4 linked regions of the Arabidopsis thaliana genome follow. The protein of the gene in region 4 purifies or fractionates together with the protein of the main gene of each other region. This does not show direct contact. Each region holds a gene or a part of one and is shown on either strand. Other genes may lie near its edges. The genes, in order: PIP1C, PIP3, HIR2 and ABCB4.

What was found.
Region 1: the proteins of ABCB4 (region 4) and PIP1C purify together in Arabidopsis thaliana (affinity purification with mass spectrometry, with the first as the bait; one large-scale study listed by BioGRID). This does not show direct contact.
Region 2: the proteins of ABCB4 (region 4) and PIP3 purify together in Arabidopsis thaliana (affinity purification with mass spectrometry, with the first as the bait; one large-scale study listed by BioGRID). This does not show direct contact.
Region 3: the proteins of ABCB4 (region 4) and HIR2 purify together in Arabidopsis thaliana (affinity purification with mass spectrometry, with the first as the bait; one large-scale study listed by BioGRID). This does not show direct contact.

What each region holds. Positions count from the first base shown.
Region 1 is NC_003070.9:223,803-230,422, reverse strand, and holds PIP1C (plasma membrane intrinsic protein 1C), read left to right. Parts: upstream 1-2,879; 5' UTR 2,880-3,246; coding exon 3,247-3,574; intron 3,575-3,731; coding exon 3,732-4,027; intron 4,028-4,111; coding exon 4,112-4,252; intron 4,253-4,341; coding exon 4,342-4,437; 3' UTR 4,438-4,758; downstream 4,759-6,620. Other genes in the region: AT1G01630 (Sec14p-like phosphatidylinositol transfer family protein), read right to left, coding at 1-74, 489-594, 699-994, 1,080-1,217; GPAT4 (glycerol-3-phosphate acyltransferase 4), read left to right, coding at 6,168-6,478, 6,557-6,620. UniProt on the Arabidopsis thaliana protein: Water channel required to facilitate the transport of water across cell membrane. Its function is impaired by Hg(2+).
Region 2 is NC_003075.7:16,705,640-16,712,383, reverse strand, and holds PIP3 (plasma membrane intrinsic protein 3), read right to left. Parts: upstream 4,024-6,744; 5' UTR 3,713-4,023; coding exon 3,427-3,712; intron 3,335-3,426; coding exon 3,039-3,334; intron 2,780-3,038; coding exon 2,639-2,779; intron 2,546-2,638; coding exon 2,426-2,545; 3' UTR 1,977-2,425; downstream 1-1,976. UniProt on the Arabidopsis thaliana protein: Water channel required to facilitate the transport of water across cell membrane. May be involved in the osmoregulation in plants under high osmotic stress such as under a high salt condition.
Region 3 is NC_003074.8:85,817-92,401, reverse strand, and holds HIR2 (SPFH/Band 7/PHB domain-containing membrane-associated protein family), read left to right. Parts: upstream 1-2,808; 5' UTR 2,809-3,045; coding exon 3,046-3,234; intron 3,235-3,311; coding exon 3,312-3,432; intron 3,433-3,520; coding exon 3,521-3,709; intron 3,710-3,791; coding exon 3,792-4,150; 3' UTR 4,151-4,718; downstream 4,719-6,585. Other genes in the region: AT3G01300 (Protein kinase superfamily protein), read left to right, coding at 5-140, 536-672, 765-888, 1,074-1,585; VDAC1 (voltage dependent anion channel 1), read right to left, coding at 4,790-5,096, 5,183-5,391, 5,492-5,578, 5,693-5,803, 6,033-6,100.
Region 4 is NC_003071.7:19,309,344-19,319,665, reverse strand, and holds ABCB4 (ATP binding cassette subfamily B4), read left to right. Parts: upstream 1-4,322; 5' UTR 4,323-4,558; intron 4,559-4,594; exon of another isoform or gene 4,595-4,889; 5' UTR 4,890-4,915; coding exon 4,916-5,227; intron 5,228-5,314; coding exon 5,315-5,369; intron 5,370-5,466; coding exon 5,467-5,642; intron 5,643-5,720; coding exon 5,721-5,942; intron 5,943-6,020; coding exon 6,021-6,259; intron 6,260-6,344; coding exon 6,345-7,144; intron 7,145-7,217; coding exon 7,218-8,095; intron 8,096-8,216; coding exon 8,217-8,483; coding exon of another isoform or gene 8,484-8,543; exon of another isoform or gene 8,544-8,568; coding exon 8,569-8,832; coding exon of another isoform or gene 8,833-8,915; coding exon 8,916-9,209; coding exon of another isoform or gene 9,210-9,242; exon of another isoform or gene 9,243-9,304; coding exon 9,305-9,658; 3' UTR 9,659-10,023; downstream 10,024-10,322. Other genes in the region: AT2G47010 (calcium/calcium/calmodulin-dependent Serine/Threonine-kinase), read right to left, coding at 414-536, 624-1,139, 1,256-1,848, 1,912-2,161; AT2G46995 (uncharacterized protein), read left to right, coding at 10,082-10,198. UniProt on the Arabidopsis thaliana protein: Auxin influx transporter that mediates the transport of auxin in roots. Contributes to the basipetal transport in hypocotyls and root tips by establishing an auxin uptake sink in the root cap. Confers sensitivity to 1-N-naphthylphthalamic acid (NPA).

The sequences.
Region 1 (6,620 bases), on a different chromosome or scaffold from region 4:
ACCTTCCATGCGGTCATGAAAATGTAGGGGGCATGAACTATATAGAGTTTCCCTAATCTCTCTGGGTAACAATCCTGTAAAACAAGGTTTTCTTAATGTGGGGGTTACTCACTGTCAGGACTCACGACCATGAACAATATTACTAACGCAATATTTTGCTAAAAATAGGATTACAATCATGAAAGTTCCTTTTCAAAAAAAATCCATAAACAAAGAGAAACAAAAAAAAAGAAGCCAAGTGTGGCCAAAAGGACCAAAATAACAAAAAGACCTTTAACCTGATCACCTACTCCAAAATAACAAAAACACCTTTTAAAACATAGTAAATAGTACTGACGAACAAAAGGTTTCTTAGTTGGAAGTCAAACTGAATTCTCTATATTTGGAGTTAAGTGGATTATTAGCAATATTTTCCTTTATTAGTGATAATTGCTAAAAACCTAAATGTTTGTTTCAAAAGATATGATAGGCGAATTAAAGGAAGTAACCTGCAAAGTGGAAAGAGCAGCAAGGTAGCCACGGATGTCACAATTAGAATATCCCCAGCCTTGCAGATCTCCAATTGCTACGAATTTCTCTTGACCTCTCGGCATTCTAACATGACAACATTCAAACAAACAAAAAAAGAGCATTAGCATAAATGGTTTCTTATATACCCACACTAACTTAATGTATGTAGTAATATTATTATTATTCACCTAGCACAAATCTTCTCGAGCGTGTAGACAACAAAACGCTTGAACTCGTCAGGGTTGCCTTTGGAAGGGTTATGTCTGTTCCCAATGGCAACAGCGATAGGTCGACCCATCTTGTCATGACCTTGCATACACATCTTGTTATGCGATAGATCATTTGCAATCTCTGCTTCTGGTATGTGCCCCTTTGGGAGCATGCTTCTCTTCCAAGTCAGGTAATTTAGAAACATCGTTGAAGCCTTTTCAATGTCCAGGTCACGCGCTCTCAGAAACCTCCTTATCATCAGATCATCCACCTCCTGCAAATCCAAATCATTAGGGCTTTTATCAAATCAATACTTTTCTGGTTGAATTCTTTTTTTACTTAAAGAAATCGATAGGGACCTTAGTTTCAGGATCTTGTCGGTCGCAGAGAGCTCTCATGATCCCGACTTTGCTCCTCTCGATCTCATCTTCGATCAACGGAACGGTCTTTTGCTCAGCTGCTGCTGCTGGTTCTTGCTTGGTCTCTTTGTTTTCCATTACGTTTCTCCTGTGAGCGACGACCAGATCTTGAAATTGGTAGAGAGAAGAAAGAAGTAGGATCGATCATAAATGAAGACAGCTGCTGAGAGAAAGATTTTAAGTGTCATTCAATGCAAAGTTGGGCTGCTTTCCCCTTCAATGGCGACGCTCACCAACTACTCTCTTCCTTACAAAAATTCTACTCATTTATTGACTAATCCCAGGTCCCCGACTCTACAGGAAGAAGACGATTATATCGTATTGGGCCTTATTAGAGCCTATTGGGCTCGAGTTGATTTGTCGTAAAGACTTGGTCTGTGGTTTAATCAATCTCTCATGCCTCAAAGTGTTGACTGATTCAGAGGCCGTTTTAGTGTTTTGAGCCCACGTCAGAAGCTTGTCTGTCGTCTGTGTGTATAAAACAAAATTCAATTCACGATTTTTTAAAATATTGATCGTATCTTTTTCCACATGTATGTAAGCAATGAAGGATCTGCTTCGTTGCAAAATATTAGTTTTTCTTTTGATAGGCATGTACCAACTAAGTACCAGCTACGTACACAGACAAAGTCAGTAACAATTAAAATTCATCAACCTAGTCATTGCTTGTTCATCAATCAACCTAATCATTTGTTTGCTTGTTAAATAACAATGCCAACGTTATTATTTCTATTTCTATACTATCATACATTCATACGGTCCACGCCTCTAACAAAAAAAGATATTGATAAAATTTAAAAGATAGATAATTCGATGAAATGAATTATAATGAAATGTGATTTGTACAACTGAGAAAGGATGTCATATACGGACTTTGGTCGGGACCGCCCCAGTAAACACCACCAACACATATTTGCCTCTTCAACCACGTGTCGTGATTCTGTTGGTTGGGCAGCTAGACGACTGTGATGTGTGTGTGTGGGTTGCGTTTCGAAAAATGGCAAACCCCACCACTAGTTCAATAAAAGGTGTTTCTTAATCATATAGTTTAGCTTCGGATTATTTGTTTCCCTTTTCAGTTTTTTAAAAATCGATATCTACAATAGAGTTAATCTGTTTATAAATTCAATTATTGTTCGGGTAAGACAACATCAACAAAACTAATAGGGTTTGAATCCTAAACACTAAACTCCATTTAACTAGTAAAGTATGGCTCATATAGCGTTAAAAATATGTGAATTGATAACAACAACAGAGTTTTGAATTTTATTTTTGTTAGGTTTGAATAGATTGATAGAAAAAGGAAAGTGGGAATAGGGAAACGAACATGTGATCACAGAAAAGCAAAATCCATTTCTGAGCTGGAAACCCCCGCAAAATTGAACCTTATCTCCAATTTTCATTTTCTTTTTTTCTAAAATATATATCGTTTAATTGAAAAACCTCAAATTCACAATCATTGTGATTATTTTGTCACTAGTAGTACACATAGTAATTTAATTAAACATTTTAAAAATACTCTAGGCCCGGCACAATGTTCGAGACTATGTTACTTTACATAAAGCAATCGCTTTCCACACACTTCTTTTCCTTTTCTTCTCCAACGGTCGGAAGTAAATTATTAATTCGTCGACTAGTCAAAAAGTTAGTCCTTTGTGAGTTTTCTGGCACTGTAATATTTTTTTTTACATTTCTAACTGCTGACTGAGTAGTACTCCTGTAGCAAGGCATTTGAGAATAAATTAGGTCAAACATGCTATCTTTATAAGGAGTTTCAGAATATAATACTAATAGTTAGCCAACGCAACAGAATTAGTATAAGCGTGGGTTGTGTTACATGATTAAACATCATCAAGTAGTAGGCTATTACAATTATTAACGTAAATAAATATGCTTTTACGAAGATCATCGTTATCCATGATTCCCTGTATTTCTCATTATTTAAATATATCATAATAGTTTCGAGACGTTAGTTTTTTTTGCTTTTTCTATTCTCTCTCTCTCTCGCCTCTATAAAACCATTCTTTCTCTATCTCAGCCACTCTCATTACCCATTGTAGAAAAGAAGAAAAAAAGCAAAGAACACTTGAACGTTTTCTAGATAGAGATGGAAGGGAAAGAAGAGGATGTTCGAGTGGGAGCTAACAAGTTCCCGGAGAGGCAACCGATAGGTACATCGGCTCAGACGGACAAAGACTACAAGGAGCCACCACCAGCTCCATTTTTCGAGCCAGGCGAGCTGAGTTCGTGGTCCTTCTACAGAGCCGGAATCGCCGAGTTCATAGCCACCTTCCTGTTTCTATACATAACAGTATTGACAGTGATGGGAGTGAAGAGAGCACCAAACATGTGTGCCTCTGTTGGAATCCAAGGCATTGCTTGGGCTTTCGGTGGCATGATCTTTGCCCTTGTCTACTGTACTGCTGGAATCTCTGGTAACCCCATTTTTTTTATCTTCTTAATACAAGTAGAATTGGTCTTTTGTTGCATGCTTCAAACCCTTGTAGCTCTGCTTTTAGTTTTCGATTTTTCTCAAAGAGATCTTAATTTAGAGTTGATTCTGATGAGTGTGTGTGTGTGTGTGTTTCACAGGTGGGCACATAAACCCAGCGGTGACATTTGGTCTGTTCTTGGCTCGTAAGCTGTCATTGACGAGAGCTGTCTTTTACATCGTGATGCAATGTCTCGGAGCCATCTGCGGCGCCGGAGTTGTCAAAGGCTTCCAGCCAAATCCTTACCAAACTCTCGGCGGAGGAGCCAACACAGTCGCTCACGGCTACACTAAGGGCTCTGGTTTGGGTGCTGAGATAATCGGAACCTTCGTCCTTGTCTACACGGTCTTCTCCGCCACTGACGCCAAGAGAAGCGCTCGTGACTCCCACGTTCCGGTATAATTTTGTTTTGATTCCTCTTAATTTATTGTTTTGGGTGTTTAGAAAAAGATTCATAATTTAGGGTTATTTTTTTTGCAGATTTTGGCACCACTCCCAATCGGATTCGCTGTGTTCTTGGTTCACTTGGCGACGATTCCAATCACCGGAACAGGAATTAACCCAGCTAGGAGTCTTGGAGCTGCAATCATCTACAACAAGGACCACGCTTGGGACGACCACGTGAGTACCCCATTACATCATTTGGTTGATTTGTCTTTCTATATGTCTTTGTCACTTTGGTTTGATTGTGGTTTGATTGTGGTTTGCAGTGGATATTCTGGGTCGGACCATTCATTGGAGCAGCTCTTGCGGCTCTTTACCACCAACTTGTCATCAGAGCCATTCCATTCAAGTCCAGATCCTGATTTGATTTCTTTCTTTATAAAACTTCATTGTTGCATCTTGGTTTGTAATTGAGCTTGAAAATATTTGAGAGATCTGGATCATGTGTTTATTTTAATTAATGGACTTGTCTTTTTCTTATTTGCTGTGGATGATCTGGTTTTATCGTTAAATGGAGTTTGATATTATGATTGATTTGGTACGATTTTAATTTTGCTTTTGTCGTTAGACTCGAGAAATTTTCAAGAGGAATTTGTTAATTTGATTTTCTTCTGGTTTGGTTCGGTACAAATTGAGTAAGATCCATATTGTTTCGGCTTGGTTTCTCGGGTCATCGACTCAACTAGTTTACGTGGTATTTAGCCCATATTTACATTGGGCCTCTTGCGCACTCTTTATGGGCCACGTTAACCAAGTGGGTATTAAGCCCATTTACATTGGGCCTTTTTCGCACTCTTTATGGATACAACTAGTATCCCATAATATGTCCATCAACGGCATCACTCCACCTTAATTTGTTGCGATAGATAGCCAACCAAGTTGAGATAAAACATTCTTACTTATTCTACAATAACCTCGTCAAAGTGGATTACCTACCCACTGCTTCACACCTTTTTTTTTTTTTAGTTTTTACTTTTCAGTTTCATATCTTCAAAGTGAATGTTTATGATAAGTTTGTTATCTTCTTGGAAATAAATTCTATTTCATAATTTTCATTGTACATAATTGCATGCATATTTTGGTAATTTATCTCAAACACACATATATGTATACACGCATAAGTCACTTTTCTTTGTAAGCTAAGGTTCACGTGATGCAGTTTCAATTTCCATAGCGTGTAAGTAGTTATTATACTCATACTAGGGGAATACTGTTACACTCATATCCGTAAGTATGAATGCATATGGCTCAATGGCTCTCCAACTCCCAACTATTTTACCGTTTTATTAATATACCATTGACATTTGAGTGACCATCCATGATACGCGGACAAAGAAAAAGAAAACCGTCTTAATCCCTTAATTATTATAAATTAAGGAGTTAATTATTTAAACCTAGTATAAAGTCAATTAACTCAATTAGCATTATAACTCTGTCGACGGCTCCTTGATACGTAAATATTGCAATCAAAATTAAATGCTACCAATATATAAAAGTCATTTTCATATAATTAACTTGGTCAGGCGGCCGTCGACTTTAATGTTTCACGTATAGTTGGATACTATATAGTATATACACACAATGCCAACCCACATATTATAAATTTATAATAACTCACCCAATTAATTATACAGCCTTCCATTTAGGTGAACTACTAAACTACTTTCTTTCATGTCAATCAACAAAAAGAAAGTAACTGAACCGCGTGTGACCAAAATTATATTTATGTATACACCAAATTCCATCATCTAATAAATACCCTAATCAAATAATCACTCATATTAACTTAAATATATTAGAAAAAAATAAGTGTCAATTGAAACCTTTGTTACGAATCATGTGATGTGAACATTTAATTTCTCATGGAGATAAAGAAATAAGAAGGGTTAATTTTGTAAAGATTGAAAGTTTAAGGATAATTTCGTAAATAGTTAATATTAATTGGACTGAAAAGTTATTTAGTCAGTTGAGCGATAAACAACCACTGGAAGGCGCATTTAAAACCCCAAGGACCTTCCCTCTCTTTCTTTCCAAATCTCTCTTTATCTCTCTTTCTCTGTTTACTAAATCGCCAGTATTCGCCGCAAGAAAGATGTCTCCGGCGAAGAAGAGCCGAAGTTTTCCTCCGATAAGCGAGTGTAAAAGCAGAGAGTATGATTCGATCGCTGCGGATCTCGACGGGACTCTGCTTCTGTCAAGAAGCTCTTTCCCTTACTTCATGCTGGTGGCCATTGAAGCAGGTAGTCTCTTCCGTGGATTGATCCTTCTTCTTTCTCTTCCCATCGTCATCATCGCTTATCTCTTCGTCTCCGAATCTCTCGGAATCCAAATCCTTATCTTCATCTCCTTCGCCGGTATCAAGATCAAGAACATCGAACTCGTCTCTCGCGCCGTTCTTACACGGTAACCACAATCACCGGATCTTTATTCTTTTCGATTTTGGAACCCTTTCGATTTTTAATCTTCGTTTTCAAATGTTAGGTTTTACGCGGCGGATGTGAGGAAAGATAGTTTTGAGGTGTTTGATAAATGTAAGAAGAGGAAA
Region 2 (6,744 bases), on a different chromosome or scaffold from region 4:
TTTGGAAAACGAAAGATTGTTTATTAAAAATTAAATTCACAACTATATTTATTGTGTTAGTTATAGCAGAACTTGTTGAATATTGTATAGTATAGTTCTTTTAAATATGTGTATAGAAAATGTCAAAACAACACTTTTGCAAAATAAAGGAATGAATAATTTTGTTGAGTTCATTCTTTATTACACTCAATTTGAGCTCTACTCTTCGATTTTTTTGTTACTTTGTTTTTGTCGAAAAGTAGATGTTATTCCATAACGATGATTTTTAGGGGATTTTAAAGCCAAATATATCTTATGTTTTTATGTTATTCACTAGTTGATTTTGTTACATAATTGTTAGATTTGATATTTTTAAAAGTAACAAAGTATCGTACTCTGCTTTTAAACCGTTTGCAACGGACAAATCAATCTGTTATTTGCGACAATGCTACTGGGCTTCAGTTACTCATGTCGGCTTTACACCGAGCCCACTGAAACATGGCCCAACGGGAAGCTCCCCGTTGGGTTTGCTCACGAAACGAAGATTTAAGTGTAAACCGGAGAAGTTGAACCAGAAACCTCCAGATAAAGGTTTGTGGACCACAAATTGTGCTTGGTTTTGTTGCACAATGTGAGTAAGTAATTATAAATAACCTCATTGGAGATTCAGATCTTAACTAATAGACAGCAGTTACTTCAATCGTCTTTACTAGAAAAAATAAAATAAAATCTTTAAGTAGGCTCCAAAGGCTTTCACAAGATGGCAAATGACCTCAAAAAAACAAATTAGTTATCACGTGAAATCACCTTGACAGCCAATTTTTCCAGACACATAAAAAATAATCCGTAACATGGAATGATTAAAAAAGTTCGCAACTTTTAAAAAGTCTGAATTAGTGATTTATATCCAAAGTTGAAGATGTTTTTTGTCAACATATTATGACATCATTTCTTTCAAAAAAATGGACAGACAACTAAGTTTCACACTCAGCTGCTGTCTGTTTCAAGTTTATGTTTTTAGCTATACAGCATCAGATCGGTTAAAGTAAATCGGTTTAGGGATAAGCAGAGGGGTGAACCGGCCGGTCACATAAGGTATTTTGCAACTTGCAAAATTGCTATTATCCAGAACCAATAAAGCAATAGCTATTATAAAACAAAATTTAAGGCCCAACTATATGATGGTTCATACTTCATAAGCTGCTAGGGTTTACAAAGTTCAAAATGAGTGGACCATATTGAAGCTAAGAAGAGATAACGAAGAATCGATCATAACGGCTAAGTATTTAAAATTAAAACTGAGACACTAGGCGTATTAACCAGTAAAAGCGTGAAGGCCATCGTTGTGGTCCTTCTCTCTCTCTCTGTCTCCTCTGCATTCACTTTTCTGAAAAGACGAGACGTGAATTATTACTACTATTCCATGTAGACAAATTCGTATTTGTATTCATACTATTTTAAAGCCAACTCTCACTGTCGCAATTTACATCCCATAGACAAATTTAGTGCTTATTGCTTCCATGAGCATTTTCTTTTTTTTTTCTCTCTTTAATCAAATGCATTATTCAATTAAGTTGGTAAAGTCTTTTATACAAATAATTTCCTAATACATCCAAACACATATGCGTTTGGGTGGGTCTAAAGACTCTTAGCCAAAAGGAGTCTACTATATAACAATAACAATAACAATACGGTAACTAGACGCAGAAAAGTTACCCATGTGATAAACACATGAGCTACGCGACACGCGGCCTAAGAAAAGTTAGAGTGCGGTGGAAAAAATGGGTTTAATGTCTCGTTTCTTGTCTGGTTGTTACAACTCTATTGGCTCCACTCCTTTTTATCCTTTCACAAAAACAACAAAAGGTACTCGCACGAGTTCTTTTTCTTTTAAAAACAATACTAATTCTAACAAGTAACATCGAAAAAAAAGACTAAAGCAAATGGAGCGAAAATAGTTGTTTTCTTGTCAACTAACGAAAATGTAACCACATAGCAAATGGAATCCAATATTTCCTTCTCAACACGTGTCAATTAATGAATGGTTTACATATGACCCGATGGTTTAGAGTCGACACGAGGATAATAACCAAAAGACCCACACACCATGTTCAGCCGAAATTTGTATCTTAATTGGACGCTAGCTGTAATAATGTACATTGAAGGATCTTGTGATGTTGTGAATAATAAATTCCAACTTGGATTGTTCGATATTTACGAACTGACATGAAGAGAAAACATGAATTTGTAACTACTAAGAGAAACCAAAGGCAAACGATTAACAAAGACAATCAAAAACTAAAGAAGGAAATAGAAGTCACTGAGCCATTTCATAATTAACATCAATCCACCATCTCTCTCATTACACACAAAAGAACAACAAATAATAATTAAAGCATATAAATCTTAAAGTTGTTTCTTGACATTATCTTAAAAAAAGCCTTCATTAATTGGTTGCGTTGCTTCGGAACGAGCCCAAGGCCTTAATTGCTGAAGCTCTCAATATGTATTGGTGGTAAGCTGCTGCAGCTAGTGCTCCCAAGAACGGACCAACCCAAAAGATCCACTGCAAAACCAAAACCAACACAGAACCAACATTAGGACATGAAGTCATGAATGATTAGTGAATACCTAATCCAGATAATAACTAAACACTTACTTGGTCATCCCACGCCTTCTCGTTGTTGTAGATAACAGCAGCACCAAAGCTTCTAGCTGGGTTGATACCAGTTCCAGTAATGGGGATAGTAGCCAAATGCACCATGAACACAGCAAATCCAATTGGAAGTGGAGCCAAAACCTAATCACAAGAAAACCCACCACACTTTATCAGAATCTACAAAGTAAAGATCCTTAGAGATTCATACATACTTTGTCATTACACCATAAAAAGATTCAAACTTCATCAGAATCTACAAAGACCCATTTTATATTCATACTAACTTTATCATTAAATCCTAAAAAGATTCAACCTTTATCATAATCTACAAAGACCCAATCAGATTCATAGTAACTTTGTCAAAAAACTCAATTAAAGATTCAAGCTTTTTGAGACTTACGGGGATGTGAGAGTCACGAGCGCTTCTCTTAGGGTCAGTTGCAGAGAAAACGGTGTAAACAAGGACGAAAGTTCCAATAATCTCAGCTCCGAGAGCAGTTCCTTTGCTGTAACCGTCAGCTACGGTGTTAGCTCCTCCACCAAGAGTGTTGTAAGGAGTTTTCATGAAAGCTTTCACGAAACCCACACCACAAATGGCTCCAAGACACTGAGCTATCATGTAACCAAGAGCTCGCACCAAAGAGACCTTACGGGCCAAGAACAGACCGAAAGTCACAGCTGGGTTAATGTGACCACCTACGAGAAGACGAGAACAAGAACGAGATTAACAATAAAACCAACGAACCAAACAAGTAAAAGTTAGGGTTTTTGGTGGGATTCAAACTTACCAGAGATACCGGCGGTGCAGTAGACGAGGACGAAGATCATACCACCGAAAGCCCAAGCGATACCAAGTAAACCAACGCCGTCACAAGGACCGGTTTGCTTCTTGTGGCCGATGACAGTAGCGACGGTGACGTAGAGGAAGAGGAGTGTAGCGATGAACTCAGCGATGAGAGCTCTGTAGAAAGACCAGGATTTGAGCTCACCCATGTCGAGAAGAGGAGCTGGTGGAGGATCCACGTAGTCTTTTCCATGGTGGGTTTTGCCTTCTTCGCTCACTTCTTTCGACATCTTTGTTCTTTTTACTCTCTAGCTAGCTATGGAGTTTGTGGTGCTGTGTGACGACGACAGTGTATCTCTTCTGCCATTTTAAAGGGGAAAAAGGAAACCCTTGTAATGCCAGGGATAAACCAAGGGTACTTTCGGTATTACGTACTATTTGTATAGTCTACATAATTCTGCTTATAATCATTATTAGTACGATTAAATAGTTAATAACCCTCTAAACTAACTTAGTACTAAAAATATAAACTACTAAATGTTCCTTGGAACTTTCCAGTTTTAGTTAAAATCACATACGATTAATATGCATTATTACTGACAAAATAATAGTCAAAATTATCACGAATGTTCCTGCAAAATAATAGTCAAATTTGTGTTTTAATGCATTTTTTTCTCTTGCTAACATCAATAGTTATATGCATTATTACTGGCCCAATCAAATTTTTGTTCTTGTACTGTATGATATAGTGTATAAAATAGCAATCAAAGTGGGGTATAATTTGCATGGCCAAATCTTTTGCAGTTCTGTAAAATGTGAATATTTTTCCTACTAATAAATATGGAACAATGGGATAAATACACAAATGTTTAAATAAATAAAAATAAGACATGTGTTTTTGTAGGTTTGTTGAATATTTTTTTGGGTAGTAATAATTTGAAAAAAAAAATGGGAGATAAAAGTAGAAGGTGGTGGGGTCCAGATGTACAGATAAGCCATGTGAGGGTTAATGATAGAAATGAGGTGTATGGTTTTCTCGTCAGCCTGTCATCCCAAACTCTCTTCAACGGTTATCTCAATATCTTTGTCTTTTTTTCCAAATCTTTTTTGGTAACATTTTTTCAAATTAGGTCAAATGTTTGTAACATATGATAATCTGCTAAAGGCAACTGTACATGAAAAAGATTAATAATCTACGAAGAAGGTATATTCGCGGCAATTTTTAAAAAGAGTTCATATACCAGCAAAAGATAAGAGTCTATTAATTATGGTTGGTGCCGTTTTTTTGACGAAACTTGTATAGACAAACATTCACCCCGCATATAAACTATATAGTAGTCTATGCTAATTTATACTCACATTAATGTGTTTGTCGTTGAAATTTGAAGACTATTTATGGATTATAATCAATTTTAAAATTTGGTTAAATGATGTATGGGAGTATATACTAATACTAGTGCATCTTATTCTTTTTGATCAAAAAATTTATCTACTCATTTGCTATTCCTTTTATTTTTTTCCTTTGAGAGAGCCATATTAATTTGAATGGTTATGTTTGTATATAGCAATACGGACGTGGCATATTAGAAAGTTGATACAAATGTACATTAAAACTTAATGGTCATTTTTTTCTAAAGTTTAATGGTCATTTAGATTGAGAATTGCATAAAGAAAAATCCATAGTGCAAGCTCACAAGGAAAAGAAAAACTAGCATAAATAGTGGACTGACGGATAATCCGAAGTGCTGGCAATTTAGGAATCCCGTAATGAGTGTTAATATCTAAAGCTTAGTTTACTCTTTTCCTTTCACATTTTTTATACGTTAATACGACGTTTGTCCTTATCCTCGTAGCCCTAATCAAAATTATTTATTTTGTTAATATCCCTAGCCAATTATTACTTAATTTACTTTATCACTTTGTGTAATACTTAAATTTTACGCAAATGTGATTTAGATATATGAAATGGAAGTAACTTTACTTCCTAAGTCGACCCACGATAATATCATTAATTCAAGTAAAGTACGACAAAGAAATATTTGATTTGATATTATGCTGCCTTTGGTAATGGAAATGCCAGGTCGATGAGCAATCATAGAAAATGATGATTGCCTTCCTCTTTGTCCATGAAGAAGACTATACGATTTCGTATAACAAAATTATATCTGCTAAGTTGTGGTAAATTTATTAAATATACAGTTCAGGCAACATTACGCAGTGCAAACATTAAAACCACCAATACACATTTTCATTTCAATTGAGTTTGAAACTAATAAATAGGGAGCCTGCGGTTTCCAAATAGTGAGATATCGACCCTAGTAGTAATCAATAAGATTTCAAGTTTTATGATTTGGAAACGAAAACAATAATGTCTGGATAGTAGTACTGGACCATCAAATATATTACGTAAATAAAGTCTCTTCGTGGTGCAGAAGAGGTTGGATAATAATAATATTTGGCTAAACTTCATCCGAATCATTGCATGTGAGAATGGATCACCATCTTATCTTTGCTGCTACTATACCTATCGTTAATTATGATTTATTTTCCCGGAACATGAAGGATTTTTGTACATTATGGTTAGCGAACTTCAACAATTTCAACTAGTCTAGTTAAATTAAATTGAGTATATTATATAGTTCAGAGAAAGGGACTGACCTACCACAAGGGGCAGCCAATCTTTATCTCTAAAACATCCAGGTCACAATTTCCACATCAGTTTGGCAAAAGACAGGTCAGATCTCTTCGTTAATCCATACAGATCATCCCACGTGTATCGTATCTGGTAACGGCTAGAACGATCCATAAACATCTGTCTTTTTCCATCCTTTTAAATAATGGTCCTCGTTTCTCGCAATTCCTTTTTCCGATTCCCCCTCCAACGGTCACTACATTTGATTACCGTATGCTTTACGGTTTTTTTTTTTTTTTTACATCAATTTTATGGTTCAATTATGCCTTGAGAATGTGCTTTTGATTTTGATTAGCAGTATATTTGTTTAATTAGTAGTGAATGCGTTTATTTTTGTGGATTGTTTTTTAATTAGTTATCTTGTCATTTAGTACACATATGGTAAACTAAGCATGTTTATGTACTTAACTAGGTTTTAACCCGCGGTTTACCGCAGACAATCAATTTATTTGGTTCTTATACTAAATATTTGAAGAAATTTGATATTTTAAACTTATAAATATAAATTTCTAGTGATTAGTGAAGAATCGTAATAAATGATTTGGATATTATTGATTATTGATTTCGTGATTGAATATACTGTTTTTAGAGATGAAATGTGATTATATTTTGATTTCAAAAACGATATAG
Region 3 (6,585 bases), on a different chromosome or scaffold from region 4:
GCAGGCTGAGATTAATTATCTTGGTAATCTTCTCCATCCCAATCTTGTTAAACTGGTGGGTTATTGTATCGAAGATGATCAAAGGCTGCTTGTATATGAGTTTATGCCTCGAGGAAGTTTGGAGAATCACCTTTTCAGAAGTAAGTAAAACAACTACAACCTTCATATTCTAATTACACTGTAGAGTTATTTTCTTTCCTTTTCTTTGTTTTCGATTTGGGTAACAAGTGTCTACAATTTAGAGATGTGTCTACTCCATATTGTTAAAGTGATTAGAATCTATACAGCTAAAATTGGAACCTTTCTGCTCTATATGGTAAAGTTGGTACCTTTTAGTGCTGTCTTAGATGGTTTATATTGCTTGACTGTATTGACCCACGAAGCAATAAGTAAATCCCTCGCATTCATTGTTTCAAGATTTTTCGGCGTAAAAAATGTGTTTAAAAAGACACAGTGCTTTTGTATGATTTATCTTCTCAGTTATCATTGATGCAAATCTTTTTATTTGTGAATTAACTTGTGCTTCGTGTTGAAGGGTCCTTGCCTCTTCCATGGTCAATTCGGATGAAGATTGCATTAGGTGCTGCAAAGGGTCTCAGTTTCCTTCACGAAGAAGCTTTAAAGCCGGTCATTTATCGAGATTTCAAAACCTCAAATATTTTACTGGATGGGGTATGTTTTCCTCTTCTTTATATCAAGGGATCAACATCTTATATACACGTCTGTTTCTTTGCTTCTAAAGTCTTACCATGTCCCAATTTCAGGAGTACAATGCTAAATTATCAGATTTTGGGCTTGCCAAAGATGCTCCTGATGAAGGCAAAACTCATGTGTCTACTCGAGTCATGGGCACTTATGGTTACGCTGCCCCCGAGTATGTAATGACCGGTAAGTTTTGTTTTTTGTCTTTGCATTTCATTCACTCCTCTACTTATATCTTCTCTGTATGGTTGAATATAGAAAATTAGAAACCTACACATATGGTTGATGCAAAGTATTACTATGATGAAACATACATCTAATTTCTTTGGTTTGAGATTATATATAACTACTGTCCTCTTATTACTCCTTAGGTCACTTGACATCAAAAAGCGACGTTTACAGTTTCGGTGTGGTTCTTCTCGAAATGCTGACTGGTAGAAGATCAATGGACAAAAATCGACCAAACGGTGAACACAACCTCGTTGAATGGGCGAGACCGCATCTCCTGGACAAAAGAAGATTCTACCGGTTACTTGATCCGAGGCTGGAGGGTCATTTCTCAGTTAAAGGAGCACAAAAAGTGACTCAGCTTGCAGCACAATGCCTTAGCCGTGACTCCAAAATAAGACCCAAAATGAGTGAAGTGGTGGAAGTACTTAAGCCTCTCCCACACCTCAAGGACATGGCTAGCGCTTCTTACTACTTCCAGACAATGCAAGCTGAACGTTTGAAAGCTGGTTCTGGTTCTGGTTCTGGTCGTGGATTCGGGTCAAGAAACGGGCAACCAGTGTTTCGGACATTGTCTAGTCCTCATGGTCAAGCTGGTTCGTCGCCTTATCGTCATCAGATTCCGTCTCCTAAGCCTAAAGGTGCAACTACTTAGATTGGCTCGCAAGTGTGGACGCAAGCAAACGTCTTTTTTAACCGATGTAAAACCGACATTGTTAACCGATTTAAAGAAGGAAAATTAAGGTTGTTCCGAAGAAGATCCGAATTTGTGTATTTACTACCTTTGTGACCTCATGTTTCTTCGTCTGTTGTAACTCTTGAACAAATTGTCTGTTAGGGTAATATTGTCATTATGTATTAGTCGTTTCGTATCGCTTCACCAGCATGCAACCACCACTTCTTCAATGTAAAGATAGATAGATATCAAGAATGGTAATGGAAGATGTGGGTGGGGGTGAGAGACATTTTGCTTTGAAATTTTGAAAATTTTCTTCTCTTTGATTTTTGGACTTATCTACTTGTAGCTTGTCGATAATCGAGTTATTAAAATATAAATACGAAAGAAGAAAACTGACAACTTTTCTTACGTGAAACTTTTATACTCACATACAAGTTATCCACTTTCTTGGTTAAACATGCGAGCCGCAAGGACCAACGACTTTTATATACAAATAATTTCCTTATAAAAAGGATTACAGTAAGATACTTTGCACACTAGCAAGCTTGATGATTGTATATCAACATCATAATTTTTCTTATTAAGTTATGATAAAAAACATTCAACTATAATTTAAAATATAATGGACCGTTCCGAATTTCCATAAATTCGGTTACCACCTCCACCATTTTACATCAAACAGAAACCAAAAAATTAGATTTAGATATATATATATATACTAGTAGAAGTAGAACCATCTTGTTCTCGTATATTATTACGAAACCCTACAGTTAACAGCTGCAGAATAATATAAATAAAGCGACACTCCACTTTTTTCTCCTACATTTTGTTGAATTTGAACCTTTAAATCAATAGTATATAAGAACATACAATGTAATAGATAACGCGTTTACTCAATCAAAAGGAACAAGTATATACTACTAGATAACTCTTGTTTATTGGCGTCTGACAAGGCTCTGTAGTATATTCAACGATACGATTATCCTCTTTTCTTCGATAAAAGTATATTCGATTCTCTTACTACAGAAACATAGTTTACATTAATGTTAGTGAAAAATACCATGCACGGAAAATCAAAGATTTAATTCTGTGGTTTGTATAATTTGAAGTGTATAATGAAACTATTTTTTAGCCTAACCCAAAAAGAATTAAAAAGAAAAAGTAATTGTTATAAAAACGAAAAGCATATTTATCAAATATTATTATTGAATATTCTCCAAGATATAAACAATTTGACTTTTCAATGAAAATGCCACTATTGAATAATAAATAGGAAATTTCCGAGGAGTAGTACAACTAGATGACAACTTGACATGATCTTCTTCTTACTTTTGTCTATATAACACTCCTGCGACTTTCTTCTCTTCAACAAACTTACAGAGAGACAAATACCTATAATAAGCCATTCATAATCTTCTTGCTTCTTGTTCAGAATAATGGGGAATCTTTTCTGTTGCGTGCTTGTGAAGCAATCAGATGTTGCGGTCAAGGAGAGATTTGGCAAATTCCAAAAAGTACTTAATCCAGGTCTCCAATTTGTTCCATGGGTCATCGGTGATTACGTCGCCGGTACACTGACCCTTCGTCTTCAGCAACTCGATGTTCAGTGTGAAACCAAAACAAAGGTAAGTAACATTGAACACACATAATGCAAAACTTCTTCTTCTAATGGACCATTAATTCATCTATGATTATGTTTCAGGACAATGTGTTTGTGACAGTGGTTGCATCCATACAATACAGAGTCTTAGCTGACAAGGCAAGTGATGCTTTTTACAGACTCAGCAATCCAACCACCCAAATCAAAGCCTACGTCTTTGATGGTATATATATCTCCTCTTCATTTCTCAATACTTAGGGAAAGTGATGATTTATCCGGTCAAGTTATTGATTTTCGTTTTGTTTTTTCAGTGATCAGAGCATGTGTTCCAAAGCTGAACTTGGACGATGTGTTCGAGCAGAAGAATGAAATTGCCAAATCTGTGGAAGAAGAGCTAGACAAAGCCATGACTGCTTATGGTTACGAAATCCTTCAAACCCTAATTATCGACATTGAGCCTGATCAACAGGTTAAACGTGCCATGAACGAAATCAACGCCGGTAAGTCCTCAAAATCGTAAAACCCTAAATCAAAATCTAAACAAATAAATGGTCAAAACCCTGAATTCAATTGTTGTTACAGCGGCGAGGATGAGAGTGGCAGCGAGCGAAAAAGCAGAGGCTGAGAAAATCATTCAGATCAAAAGAGCAGAGGGTGAAGCAGAGTCAAAGTACCTGTCGGGACTCGGAATCGCTCGGCAGAGACAAGCGATCGTGGACGGTCTGAGAGACAGTGTTCTAGGGTTCGCAGGAAACGTGCCAGGGACGTCAGCGAAGGATGTGTTGGACATGGTGATGATGACTCAGTACTTTGACACAATGAGAGATATCGGAGCAACTTCTAAATCCTCTGCGGTGTTTATCCCTCACGGTCCAGGCGCCGTCTCTGACGTGGCAGCGCAGATTCGAAATGGATTATTACAGGCCAACAATGCCTCCTAATCACTCAAGTCAAATTGTCTTGGTCGTCTCTTTATATATTTTTGTATCTTCTTATTAAAAAGGTAAATTTGACTTTTAATATAATGGTGTGCTTATTGTGATTTGTCATTATGTTTGTACCTATCTCTTTTGTGAGTTGTGTGATAGATATACTTTGTATTTTTTCTTAAAAGTCAATATAAATTTCTGTTTGCGAGAGAAAAATCGAATCTTTGAATAGTGAACTTTGTGGCGATAAACTAATATAATGATTAATGAAGAGAATGTTGCGATATAGGACACTTTCATATAATGAAGAGAATGAACCTGATCGATAAACATGTGGGCCTAAAATGAAGCCCATCTCAATCAACTCTCTGGACACAGGTCCACTTACTCAACACACAGGCCCATCTGAATATGCAATTTTCATTATGACACGGCAAATAAAAAGAGAAGCAGAAGAGGAGGATCTTAAGAGTTTCATCACCATCTCAAGATGATCATTTTCAACCTTTTTATTCTTCTACAAATCCGGCAGGAAAATGGGAAAGATCAGTAGTTGCCCACTCAAACCATGAACCAAGCAGAGAAAAAACAGAGTACGTAGAAAGAAACTAGTTTAAAAAAACTATTGCAACTTCTTCTTCCATCTCAGTTTCAAGGCTTGAGTGCGAGAGCCAATCCAACTTTAGCACTCTTGTCAATTGACTTTGTGTCGACTTCTCCAGAGATTGTGAAGAATGACTTGGGTTTCCACTCGTGTTGAATGAGAGCACTTGCAATACCCGCACTATTGACACGAGCCTTCACAGAGGTCAAGGGGTCAAGCGAGTGCTGTGTTCCAACAGTTATGGTGCTGTCCTTGCTAGATAACTTGTGGCTCACTTCGGCTCCAACCGCAGTGTTGAACAGCGGGTTCACAATGTGATAGTAAGATGCATTCAATAGATCGCCCTTGTCGTTCCTAACAAACAACAAAATCAAAAGATATTAAATGGAAACATTGAGAACTCCATCTTTCATCCAGAATTCTCACTAAAAATCACTTACACAGTAAGGGAGGCAATTAAGTCCTCCTTGGTGAAGCTTAAACCAGCATTGATCTTGGTGAAATTTCCAGACTTGGTGTCAAATGAAACATCAGTACCAACAGCCAAGACATTGGAGCCAATCACACCAGAGAAGTTGACAGTTGGGTTCTGAGTCAATCCCATGCTTGTGCTGATACCGGCGTACTCATGCAAGTATTGCAGCTCAACCTGTTTATAAGACGAAACACGATAAAAATGAGAAGTCAACTCTCAACTGATGAAACTTTAAAACAATACAAAGAAATGTTGTTGAATTAATAAAATATACCTTGCCAGAATTTTGGTCAGGAACCTTGAAGCTGAAGATTGACCTCAGTCCGGGTGCAGCCTCATCAACGGTAGCGGTGATCAGAAACTGAAACCAATACACACAAAGTTGTAAGGTAAGTAGCCCAACAAACAAACAAAAAACTATAACTCAATATACAAGAAAAACAGGAGATGAAATTGAGTACACAAATACACTTACAGTAGAATCAGTGCAAACTTTCAAATCAGTAGTAATGTTCTTTCGCCTCGACTGAAAAGCGACATCTCCCAACAATAAGTCACCTTTCTTAGTTCCGGTTGAGGTGATGGCCTAAAACAAAGAAAGAGCCAGATTATGAGCAACGATGCCCAAGATAGAAGAAATCCAATGTTTACCATCACACGAAACATAAGAACAAAGTAAGAAATCCGTTACATAAGATAACAATGCTAATTCGACACAAACCTCAGAAGCTAATGAATAAAGCAAAAGTGGAAACAGAATACAGAAGACGACATTCCATAAACCCTAATCATCTATAATGAAATGAGAAACTTACAACACCGGCAGGAGAGAAAGTGGTGATACTGAATTTCTGGTCACTGTTGTGGTCTTTGTACAGAAGATCTGCAAATACACAGAGCAGAGCAACAGTTTTAGACAGCTTATTAACAAAACATTCTCAAAGGGGACTTAAATGGTGAGAAATGCTAAACATGAAAGAGAATCACAGCATTCAAATTGGCTATTCCAGATCAACGATAAACAAAACAGGGTCTATTGAGAAAGGTAGAGAGCTTAAACGAGAGTGACGGAGACATTGAACCCAAGGAATTACTCATATCAGCACCAATGATTGAAATCCATTACTTATGAATCTCTACCCGATCGAATACTCGAAATCTACGCATGCATCTATGATCTATCCCGGTAGCCAAATCGGGACCGGGAAAAGGAAAATCTAAGAGATGAGCAAATGAATCAAAAATCCTAAGGAATCAAAAGAAAGTCCAGATTAGAAGACAGAACGGGACACTAAGTAGCAACAATCAGATCGTCTACGCCATAAACAGATTTAATTGAACGAAATGAAAGAGAAGAAGTGAGGGAGA
Region 4 (10,322 bases):
AAGTCTTGTACTGCGATCTGGCTAAAGCGTATATTCATTATTCCCAACTGTATTCCTAACCCTCTAAATTAGCTGGAGGGTTCTGGTTTTTACGACTATGTGTGTTAAATCGGAAGGTAGAGAGAAATAATTTAGCTGCCACGTGGTAGGACCCAAAGTACATCGCAAGTACACTTTTTTTTTTTGCTTGATGGTTGATATTAGTACGCAATTCTCTTTCCAGTACCGGTACTACACAATTACATCGGAATTTGTTTGGTTTACTTTGAAAACAAAAACTTTGGATTGGTTCAGTATTGGTTGCATATTTTGATAAAATAATTGTACCAAATGAATATAAATTAGTTGTGAATCTTATATTATAAAATTGACTTGACGACAAAAAAAAACAAATATTATAAAATTGACTTAAATCAAGTAATAAGAACATCGAAATCAGAGAGATCCCATTCTGCAATTGCTTCATCTTCTTTATAAATCTCGGTGCCAACATCCACCGATGTCCAAATCCTCCTCGCTGGAATCGTACCGGGATCCTACAACATAAACAAATCAAAAACCAAAACCGGAATATTCAAAAGAAACAACAGAAAAACCAACCGGTTTACTGATCAATCAATCACCTGGTAGAAGAAAAGCCTACTGGACAAGCCACCAACATCAAGATCCCAAGTTCTCGGGTCACCCACCCAACCATCACCCAACCGGGTAGGATATCCATATTCACCCCAAACCGGGTGAGGCAAAAGCTGAAGAATCTCCTGAGCTTGTGGGTTACTATAAGCATCACAAGTCCCCACCGGAAGCTCAAGATGCTCGGCGTTTCCCGGCGCACAGTAAACGTGGTAAGCCTCGTAAGGGAAGCTCCGGTGGTCCGTACGGTGAACTCTGGTGCCGTTCCGAAACGTGTGGTACGGTGGACAGTTGTGAAGACTCTTGGGGTTGCACCAAAGTGGGGTTTCAGGGTTTATGATCATCTCCGAGTAACGAGTAACGTCGGTGGTTACGTCACCGTCGCAGGGCTTGCCGTTGTTTTTCCAGCAGCTTCCGATGTCGAGAAGATAGAATTGACTCTTGGCTCCGCCTCCTTGTTTTACATTTAGTGTTAGTCTCACTTTAAAGTTTGGTGACTCCGGAAGCTAATACAAAAACACAACACATTTCAATATTTCATCACAAAAGATCAATCAATTTCTTTTTGACAAGAATGAAAAAAACTTTTCAAAAAGGTTTAAAGTTAGTGTTAATTACTTACTGTTTTGAGCATTCCTCTAGTGTCATAATGGTATCCACCAGAGAATCCTTTAGTGGCATCAGCTCTAAGGTAAAGCATAAGCCATGGGTACTTAGCTGAAGTCTTAAGCTTATGTTTAAATACCCAACCACCAACGCCTACTCTCTTCTCCCACACAACCTCGTAATAACTTATCCCATCCAACCCATTTCCAAAATCTGCCCCTTGCTCGTACGTACCATTGAACCATCCCTTCATGGTTTGACCATCTCTCTGAAGCTCGGTTTTTCCGTGGTTCAGCGTCGGTTGGTTCATACAACCGCTGCCGAAACAGGGGAATAATCCGGGTTGATTGAAAGGTGGGATCTTTTTGCCGTTTTTAGGGCAAAGAGCAGATTTTGTGTCGTAGTTTCCATTTTTGAGCATGACCATCCAGAAACTCCATGGGTTTGGTTTGTCTGAGACTTGACAGAGGGAGCCTAGGTAGAGTTCTTTCTCGACCGCGTAAAGGTCAGGGTTATGCAATGCTGATTCTGATATGATTCCTGGTTTAGGCTTTCCAATCCCTAGCTCATTATCCGAGTCTGATACCTTGTGCACCAAGGAAGATCCACCTATCGAAAATTATAGTTAGAAACAGAGAAAACAGAGGAGAAAGAAAGAAGAAGAAAACTTACTGGTGGTTTTGTTTGATTGGTCTTCTGTGTATGCTTTGATGCATTTAGATGACAAATCGAAGCAATCTGCAGCTCGAGGACTACCCATGTGAGGAGCTTCGAAGCCAACCTCATTGCAGAAGTTCCAAGCTTCAAATGCCACTCTGAGACCGTCTCTCTTCATCCCAGGATCTCCAACCGCTGATCTCTCGTCTCCATGAACCAGGAGGATCAAGTTTACCACGGCCAAGATTGGAGCCAGTTGCTTCATTTGTCTCTTTTCCTCTCTTTCTGCATTTAGTTTTCTTGTGCTTTTTTGGTTAATCTATTTAAGCTTTTTTTTTGTGTGGACTGCAGTGGTAGTTGGTGAATGATTTAATCTCTATGTGATAAATGCTTCCAAAAGTCAAAGAAGCTGTTACTCTTCTTAGTGGCGATTATTGAGGGAGTAACCATGACTTGCTCTTTTCGATTCAGATCAAAGCAGTACATGTAGAAATGCTTGGATCAAAATACATTCTAATTTGCATTTGCGTTCAGAGTGATTATATCTTAAACCATCTGAAAACGAATCCTAAAATGTATTCAATGGTATGATTGCACTCTAGAGAGCAACAAGACAAGTCAATATATGATAAAGTTTCAAACTTTTTCTTCTCTATTAAAAATCAAAAGTTGAGCATTCTTTGAAGTAATTAGGCCCATGGGCTAGTAACGGCTTTGTCAGTGGGATATATAAAAAATTTGTAGGTTGGGTTTCCAAATTCAAAATCCATAGATTCGGGTTCTCGGGCCGGGTCAAGATCGTCTTATTTACGTCGGGAATTTTATACAGTTTCAAACATGTAGGGTAAAGGATTTGGGTCTATTCGACACGTGACACGATTCTCCAAAAGGTTAGTGGGAATCGAACCGCTTAAACTTTTTTTCTTCCCCCGGAAAAAGGTCTACTACGCCTACTGAAAAAAATGTCAATAATCTATCGAGTGAATTAATGAGTCCAATAATTAGTGTCATTCAGCAGATATTTTAAATTAATAGAAATTAAATATTTATGTGCACCAAAACAAAAACTTACAATAAAAATGACAAAACAAATCCACACTTCATCGAAAAATGAAAAATCTGAATAGCGCCTCACACGATTTATTAATGGTGTAGTCACTCTCACATCAATGTTTGGAATAAAATTGCAACTAGTAGTTTTTCTTTTCTTAGAAAAGTAGTATTTGATAACTTGTTCCCCAAGTAGTAAATTCTTGCTATAGACAAAAGATATACGTGGGTAGGTGATAAATATAGGAATATCATTATATGTCAGGAATGACGTCAGAATCGTTATTGGTTCGATAAGATTCATTGATTCTGAAAAGGCGCAGAAGAAGTAATGCGAGACCATTCCTTCCCTGGCTCCCTGGAAGAAAGAAAGGTCCCTTTCTCTGTAGTTTTGACTTTTCTTTGTTTTATTTTGAATCGATAATTTAAAATTCGGACGTGTTTCTTGCTCGTAAAGTAAAATAAGCTTCACGTGGTTCCAACCTAGAATGGTAGTGCAAAGATATAATCTGACCAGAAAATATAATTTTATAATATTTTTAGCTTAACTTACAAAATAACTAATGAAATATACATTTATGGGAATTCGATTTTTCGTTTGTTTTAACACATCAATAATTCCCATCGATCCGTTGGCAAAACGCAATTATGATAACAAAGATTACTAGTGAGGAATGGGTTCTTGCAGCACTTGTCAATTTGTCCATCCATAGTCACAAGTCACAACTAATGCCAACGAGAAAGTCAACTAAAGCGATGCAAGAAAATCATCATAACTCAGCTTCTTCCTTTTTTTTTGAGATATTGATGTGTATATGTACACACAAAGACGTACATACAAAATTCGAGTTTTTATATAAAACGAATCGTTTTAAACGATGATAAGGAGTAAGGACATATGGAAGCTGCTAATAACATGGCTAATTAACTAGCTATAATAAGAGATCAAATATATCTTATCACTGATACCAAAAAAAATAAAAAAAATAACTATATTGTACATATGAGTGATTCGCGGGATTATACAGACATACGGTCCTCCCGTATTAAAACTTTATGTTAAAATAATAGAGTTGTAGTTGAACAAAACAGCTAGACTAATCGTCGATCGCTGTGATCAATTCGTTCTTTATATTTTTTTAATGCTATAATTAATCATCTTGGTCAGCATTAGACAATAATGGGCAGATAAAATATTGAAAATGTTATCTTACGTATTATATTGTATTACAAACATAAAGGCATAATTCATTTTATATACACAAGATTCCCTATTTTATAACTACGCCAATTGTGCTATGGTTACAATTTAACTTTACTAACAACAACAACAAAAAGACTATTTTTCACAAATTTTACGAAGTAGTAGTTATTAATTTCATGGCATCCATTTTCTCTTTCTCTCAAACAAGTCACAGCTTGTTCGTCAAGAAATAAACAGAGCATATATAAACTCACATGAGTCCTTCCAAACTTCACTTACAATTATATAAAAATATATAAGCAGAGAGAGAGAGAGAGAGCTCTCTGCACATTTTTCAACTGCTGTTTATACGGCAAGACACCAAGAAGCCGCTAAACCCTAATCACTTTCTTCTTGTTGCTTTTCGAGGTATATATATATATTTTTATATTCTCTGCTTTAATCATTTTTATACTGGAAACTCTGTACTTTATGTTCTTATCTGGGCCGTAGCTTCGGTTATTCCTCATTGTAAACGACAGATCTTGCTTCAGGTTTCGTTATTTTTTCACATGTTCTTGAAAAAACAATATACAGATCTTTAGGGTGTTTTCATGGTTGGTGAAAAGTCTTTGTTTCTTTTCCTTCTTGGCCTGACCTTTATGTTCCCTATTTAGATATATACTCTCTCTTGAAGATCTCATCAGCTCATAGATTTAGAAACTTATTACATATCTCCTCTGTTCTTTTAAATGCTTAGGATCGTGAGGTATCTGTGAAACTCTAATGGCTTCAGAGAGCGGCTTAAATGGAGATCCAAATATACTAGAAGAGGTTTCTGAGACCAAAAGAGACAAGGAAGAAGAAGAAGAAGTGAAGAAAACAGAGAAGAAAGACGAGGAACATGAGAAAACCAAAACGGTGCCGTTTTATAAGCTCTTTGCTTTTGCAGATTCCTTTGATTTCCTCTTGATGATCCTCGGGACGCTTGGATCTATTGGAAATGGTCTTGGCTTCCCTCTTATGACCTTACTGTTCGGAGATCTCATTGATGCTTTTGGAGAGAATCAGACTAATACAACAGACAAAGTCTCCAAAGTAAATCAAACGAATGTTTTTTGTCTTAATTGGGATTCATTTCAAGATTTGACTTTCTTACTAGTTTTTTTTATTTAACTCACACAGGTTGCTCTGAAGTTTGTATGGCTTGGAATCGGTACTTTCGCAGCTGCTTTTCTCCGTAAGTTCATTGGATCTGTCGAAGGATCTAAACTTTGTGAAAAAAGATTTCAAGAAAACAAAGAGTGTAAACTTTTTTGATGTCTATGAATGTTCAGAATTGTCTGGCTGGATGATTTCTGGAGAGAGACAAGCAGCGAGAATAAGGAGTTTGTATCTAAAGACAATCTTAAGACAAGATATAGCCTTTTTCGACATCGATACAAATACAGGAGAAGTTGTTGGAAGAATGTCCGGTGACACTGTGCTAATCCAAGATGCCATGGGAGAAAAGGTAAGCTACTAAAAAAAAGTCAACATGGCGTTCTAATGTTTGAAACTTTATTTGTTAAAACGACGACGTTTTTGTCAGGTGGGAAAAGCTATACAACTTCTAGCAACATTTGTAGGAGGCTTTGTGATAGCTTTCGTAAGAGGATGGCTTCTAACGTTGGTCATGTTATCTTCAATTCCTCTACTTGTAATGGCTGGTGCACTTCTGGCTATCGTCATTGCTAAAACAGCTTCTCGTGGACAAACTGCTTACGCCAAAGCTGCCACTGTAGTTGAGCAAACAATTGGTTCTATAAGAACGGTAATTAGGCTTACTTATACACTTTTACTTAGCCAAAATTACCAAAACCACAAAGACTTACTATCTACATTTTTGCAGGTTGCATCATTTACAGGAGAGAAACAAGCGATAAGCAATTACAATAAACATCTTGTCACTGCTTATAAAGCAGGAGTCATTGAAGGTGGTTCAACTGGATTGGGTCTTGGAACGCTCTTTCTTGTAGTCTTTTGTAGCTACGCTTTAGCAGTATGGTATGGAGGAAAGTTGATATTGGATAAAGGCTACACAGGAGGACAAGTTCTCAATATCATCATCGCTGTTTTAACTGGATCCATGTAAGTACCTTTCATTAGCAATACCTCTTTGGTTCATTAACTTCCCTGCAAACTAATTTGAGATATCTTTTTGTTCCTTCCTTAGGTCGTTAGGTCAAACATCGCCTTGCTTAAGCGCATTTGCAGCTGGACAAGCCGCGGCTTACAAGATGTTTGAGACAATTGAGAGAAGACCTAACATAGATTCTTATAGTACAAATGGTAAAGTTTTGGATGACATTAAGGGAGATATTGAGCTCAAAGATGTTTACTTTACTTACCCAGCGAGACCCGATGAGCAAATATTTCGCGGATTCTCTCTGTTTATCTCGAGTGGTACAACGGTGGCTTTAGTTGGACAAAGTGGGAGCGGGAAATCTACTGTTGTGAGTCTGATTGAGAGGTTTTACGATCCACAAGCTGGTGACGTTCTCATAGATGGTATTAACTTAAAAGAGTTTCAGCTAAAATGGATTAGAAGCAAGATTGGACTTGTGAGTCAAGAACCAGTTTTGTTCACTGCAAGCATCAAGGATAACATTGCGTACGGCAAAGAAGACGCAACAACCGAAGAGATTAAAGCAGCTGCAGAGCTAGCAAACGCATCTAAATTTGTGGATAAGCTACCACAGGGTTTGGATACAATGGTTGGAGAACATGGTACTCAGCTTTCCGGTGGACAAAAACAGAGAATCGCGGTGGCTAGAGCAATCTTAAAAGATCCAAGAATCTTACTTTTAGATGAAGCTACAAGCGCGCTTGATGCAGAATCTGAGAGAGTGGTTCAAGAAGCGCTTGATAGAATTATGGTTAACCGGACTACTGTTGTGGTCGCTCATCGGTTAAGCACTGTGCGAAATGCGGATATGATCGCTGTGATCCACCAAGGCAAGATCGTCGAGAAAGGTAAACTACCTAACATTCTTATTCACTTTTTGCATATGGATACACATGTGTGATAGCAAAATTTGATGAACAGGTTCTCACACGGAACTACTAAAGGACCCGGAAGGAGCTTATTCTCAGCTGATTCGTCTACAAGAAGAGAAGAAATCTGATGAGAATGCAGCGGAGGAGCAAAAGATGTCATCAATTGAATCATTCAAACAATCTAGTCTGAGAAAATCGTCTCTAGGCCGGTCTCTAAGCAAAGGAGGATCATCCAGAGGAAACAGCAGCCGCCATTCTTTCAATATGTTTGGTTTTCCAGCAGGAATTGACGGAAACGTCGTTCAAGATCAAGAAGAGGATGATACTACACAACCAAAAACCGAACCAAAAAAAGTCTCCATTTTCAGAATTGCTGCTCTAAACAAACCAGAGATTCCGGTGCTAATACTTGGATCAATATCCGCAGCAGCAAATGGCGTTATCCTTCCAATCTTTGGCATACTAATCTCCAGCGTAATCAAAGCGTTTTTCCAACCACCTAAAAAGCTAAAAGAAGATACAAGCTTCTGGGCAATCATATTCATGGTTCTTGGTTTCGCATCCATCATTGCATACCCAGCACAAACCTTCTTCTTTGCCATAGCTGGATGTAAACTAGTGCAGAGGATCAGAAGTATGTGTTTTGAGAAAGTGGTTCACATGGAAGTTGGATGGTTCGACGAGCCAGAGAATTCTAGTGGAACCATAGGAGCAAGGCTATCAGCAGATGCTGCCACAATCCGTGGTCTAGTTGGAGACTCTTTGGCTCAGACAGTTCAGAATCTTTCATCTATATTGGCTGGTTTGATCATTGCATTTTTGGCTTGTTGGCAATTAGCTTTCGTGGTCCTCGCGATGCTCCCGCTTATCGCACTCAATGGATTTCTTTATATGAAGTTCATGAAAGGTTTCAGCGCTGATGCAAAGGTAAACTAGTTTTTTTTTTTTTTTTTTTTGCTAAGATAGGTAAACTAGTTACTACTTTTCATACATATACCAACTAGATTCTCTCAATCATTTGATTAACGTTACTTTAAATCATTGGCAGAAAATGTACGGGGAAGCAAGCCAAGTAGCGAATGACGCGGTAGGGAGCATAAGAACCGTTGCTTCATTCTGTGCAGAAGACAAGGTGATGAACATGTACTCAAAGAAATGTGAAGGTCCAATGAAGAATGGGATTCGTCAAGGCATAGTCAGTGGTATTGGTTTCGGCTTCTCTTTCTTCGTCCTCTTCTCTTCTTACGCTGCCAGTTTCTACGTTGGAGCACGCCTTGTCGATGATGGCAAAACAACCTTCGACTCTGTTTTCAGGGTACGGAAACAAAACACACAACATGTTGATGATAAATGCCTTCCCTTGAGAGTTTCTTGATCCCTTGTCATGTTTAACAATGCAGGTTTTCTTTGCTTTGACAATGGCGGCAATGGCGATATCTCAATCGAGTTCGTTATCTCCAGATTCCAGCAAAGCCGATGTAGCTGCTGCCTCGATTTTCGCAATAATGGACAGGGAATCAAAGATTGACCCAAGTGTGGAATCAGGAAGAGTGTTGGATAATGTTAAAGGAGACATTGAGCTTCGTCATGTTAGTTTCAAATACCCAGCAAGACCAGATGTTCAAATCTTCCAAGACCTCTGTCTAAGCATTCGAGCTGGAAAGGTTAGGATTTCAAAACTTTCATTCTTTGAGCAAAAAAGGCAGAACCTTTTGAGTAAACCTCTGTTCTCTGTTTCACATTCCAGACAGTTGCTTTGGTTGGAGAAAGCGGTAGCGGGAAATCAACGGTGATTGCATTGTTGCAGAGGTTTTACGATCCAGATTCAGGTGAGATCACTCTTGACGGTGTAGAGATCAAGAGCCTAAGACTAAAATGGCTAAGACAACAAACGGGACTTGTGAGCCAAGAACCAATCTTGTTCAACGAGACAATTAGAGCCAACATTGCTTATGGCAAAGGAGGAGACGCGAGTGAATCCGAAATCGTATCTTCAGCTGAATTATCAAACGCCCATGGATTCATCAGTGGTCTGCAACAGGTAAAAACTCAACCTTTAGGGTTCTTACTCTGATTCCCAAATCAATGGGTTATCGGGTCGGGTCAAATTAACCGGAGATTACTTGCCTGATTTAGGGTTATGATACGATGGTGGGAGAAAGAGGAATTCAATTATCAGGCGGACAAAAGCAACGAGTAGCTATAGCCAGAGCCATCGTCAAAGATCCAAAGGTGTTGCTGCTCGACGAAGCCACGAGTGCTCTTGACGCTGAGTCTGAGCGTGTGGTTCAGGACGCGCTAGACCGTGTTATGGTAAACCGGACTACGATTGTGGTAGCTCACCGGTTATCGACGATTAAGAATGCTGACGTAATTGCCGTCGTTAAGAACGGCGTCATCGTTGAGAAAGGAAAGCACGACACGTTGATCAATATCAAAGACGGAGTTTATGCTTCGTTAGTTCAGCTTCATCTAACCGCGGCTTCTTGATCTTAATTATCTTTTTGTCCCTTTATTTTTATTTTATGTCAATTATGCCCCGTTATATTTATTATTGTTGTGAATTTCTATTTTGGGTAATTTTTTGGTTCTTATTATATTATTGAGGGTACTGTAATGTATTATACCATTTGAGATTGGGTGTTCAAAACAAGAATATCCAAAACTATCATTTTCATTAAGCCAAGTTGATAGTTTTGGATAGTTTCTATGTATACATAATCGTAGCTATCCACTCCCCATTCCGGTTGATCGCTTTGAATCTCCATAGTCCACTACGCTATCTTCGTCGCTTTCGTTTTCGTCTTCTTCTTCGTTGCTATCGCCGGAATTATCTTCCTCCGGATTGTAGTCGGACTTTTGTCATTGTTCAGAGAGGAAGAGACTGTAGATTCATCAGTGTTCGTCGTATCAATGGGGCCCTCCGTAGAAGCGATTTGCTCCGTCTCGGTCTCTGTTTTGCTTGATCCGGAAGCTATGATTGGAATAAACAGAAACCCTATATTTTGCGTAAGCCGAATACTTTTGTGAGTTTTAAGTTGCATTATTTATAGATGGGATCGAACTTGGGCTTAATCAAAGGAGAAGGCCCATTTATTTCCAAAACACAAAGTAGGAAATATCAGGTGGGAATTTGTTGTTTCCCCTGCCTCCT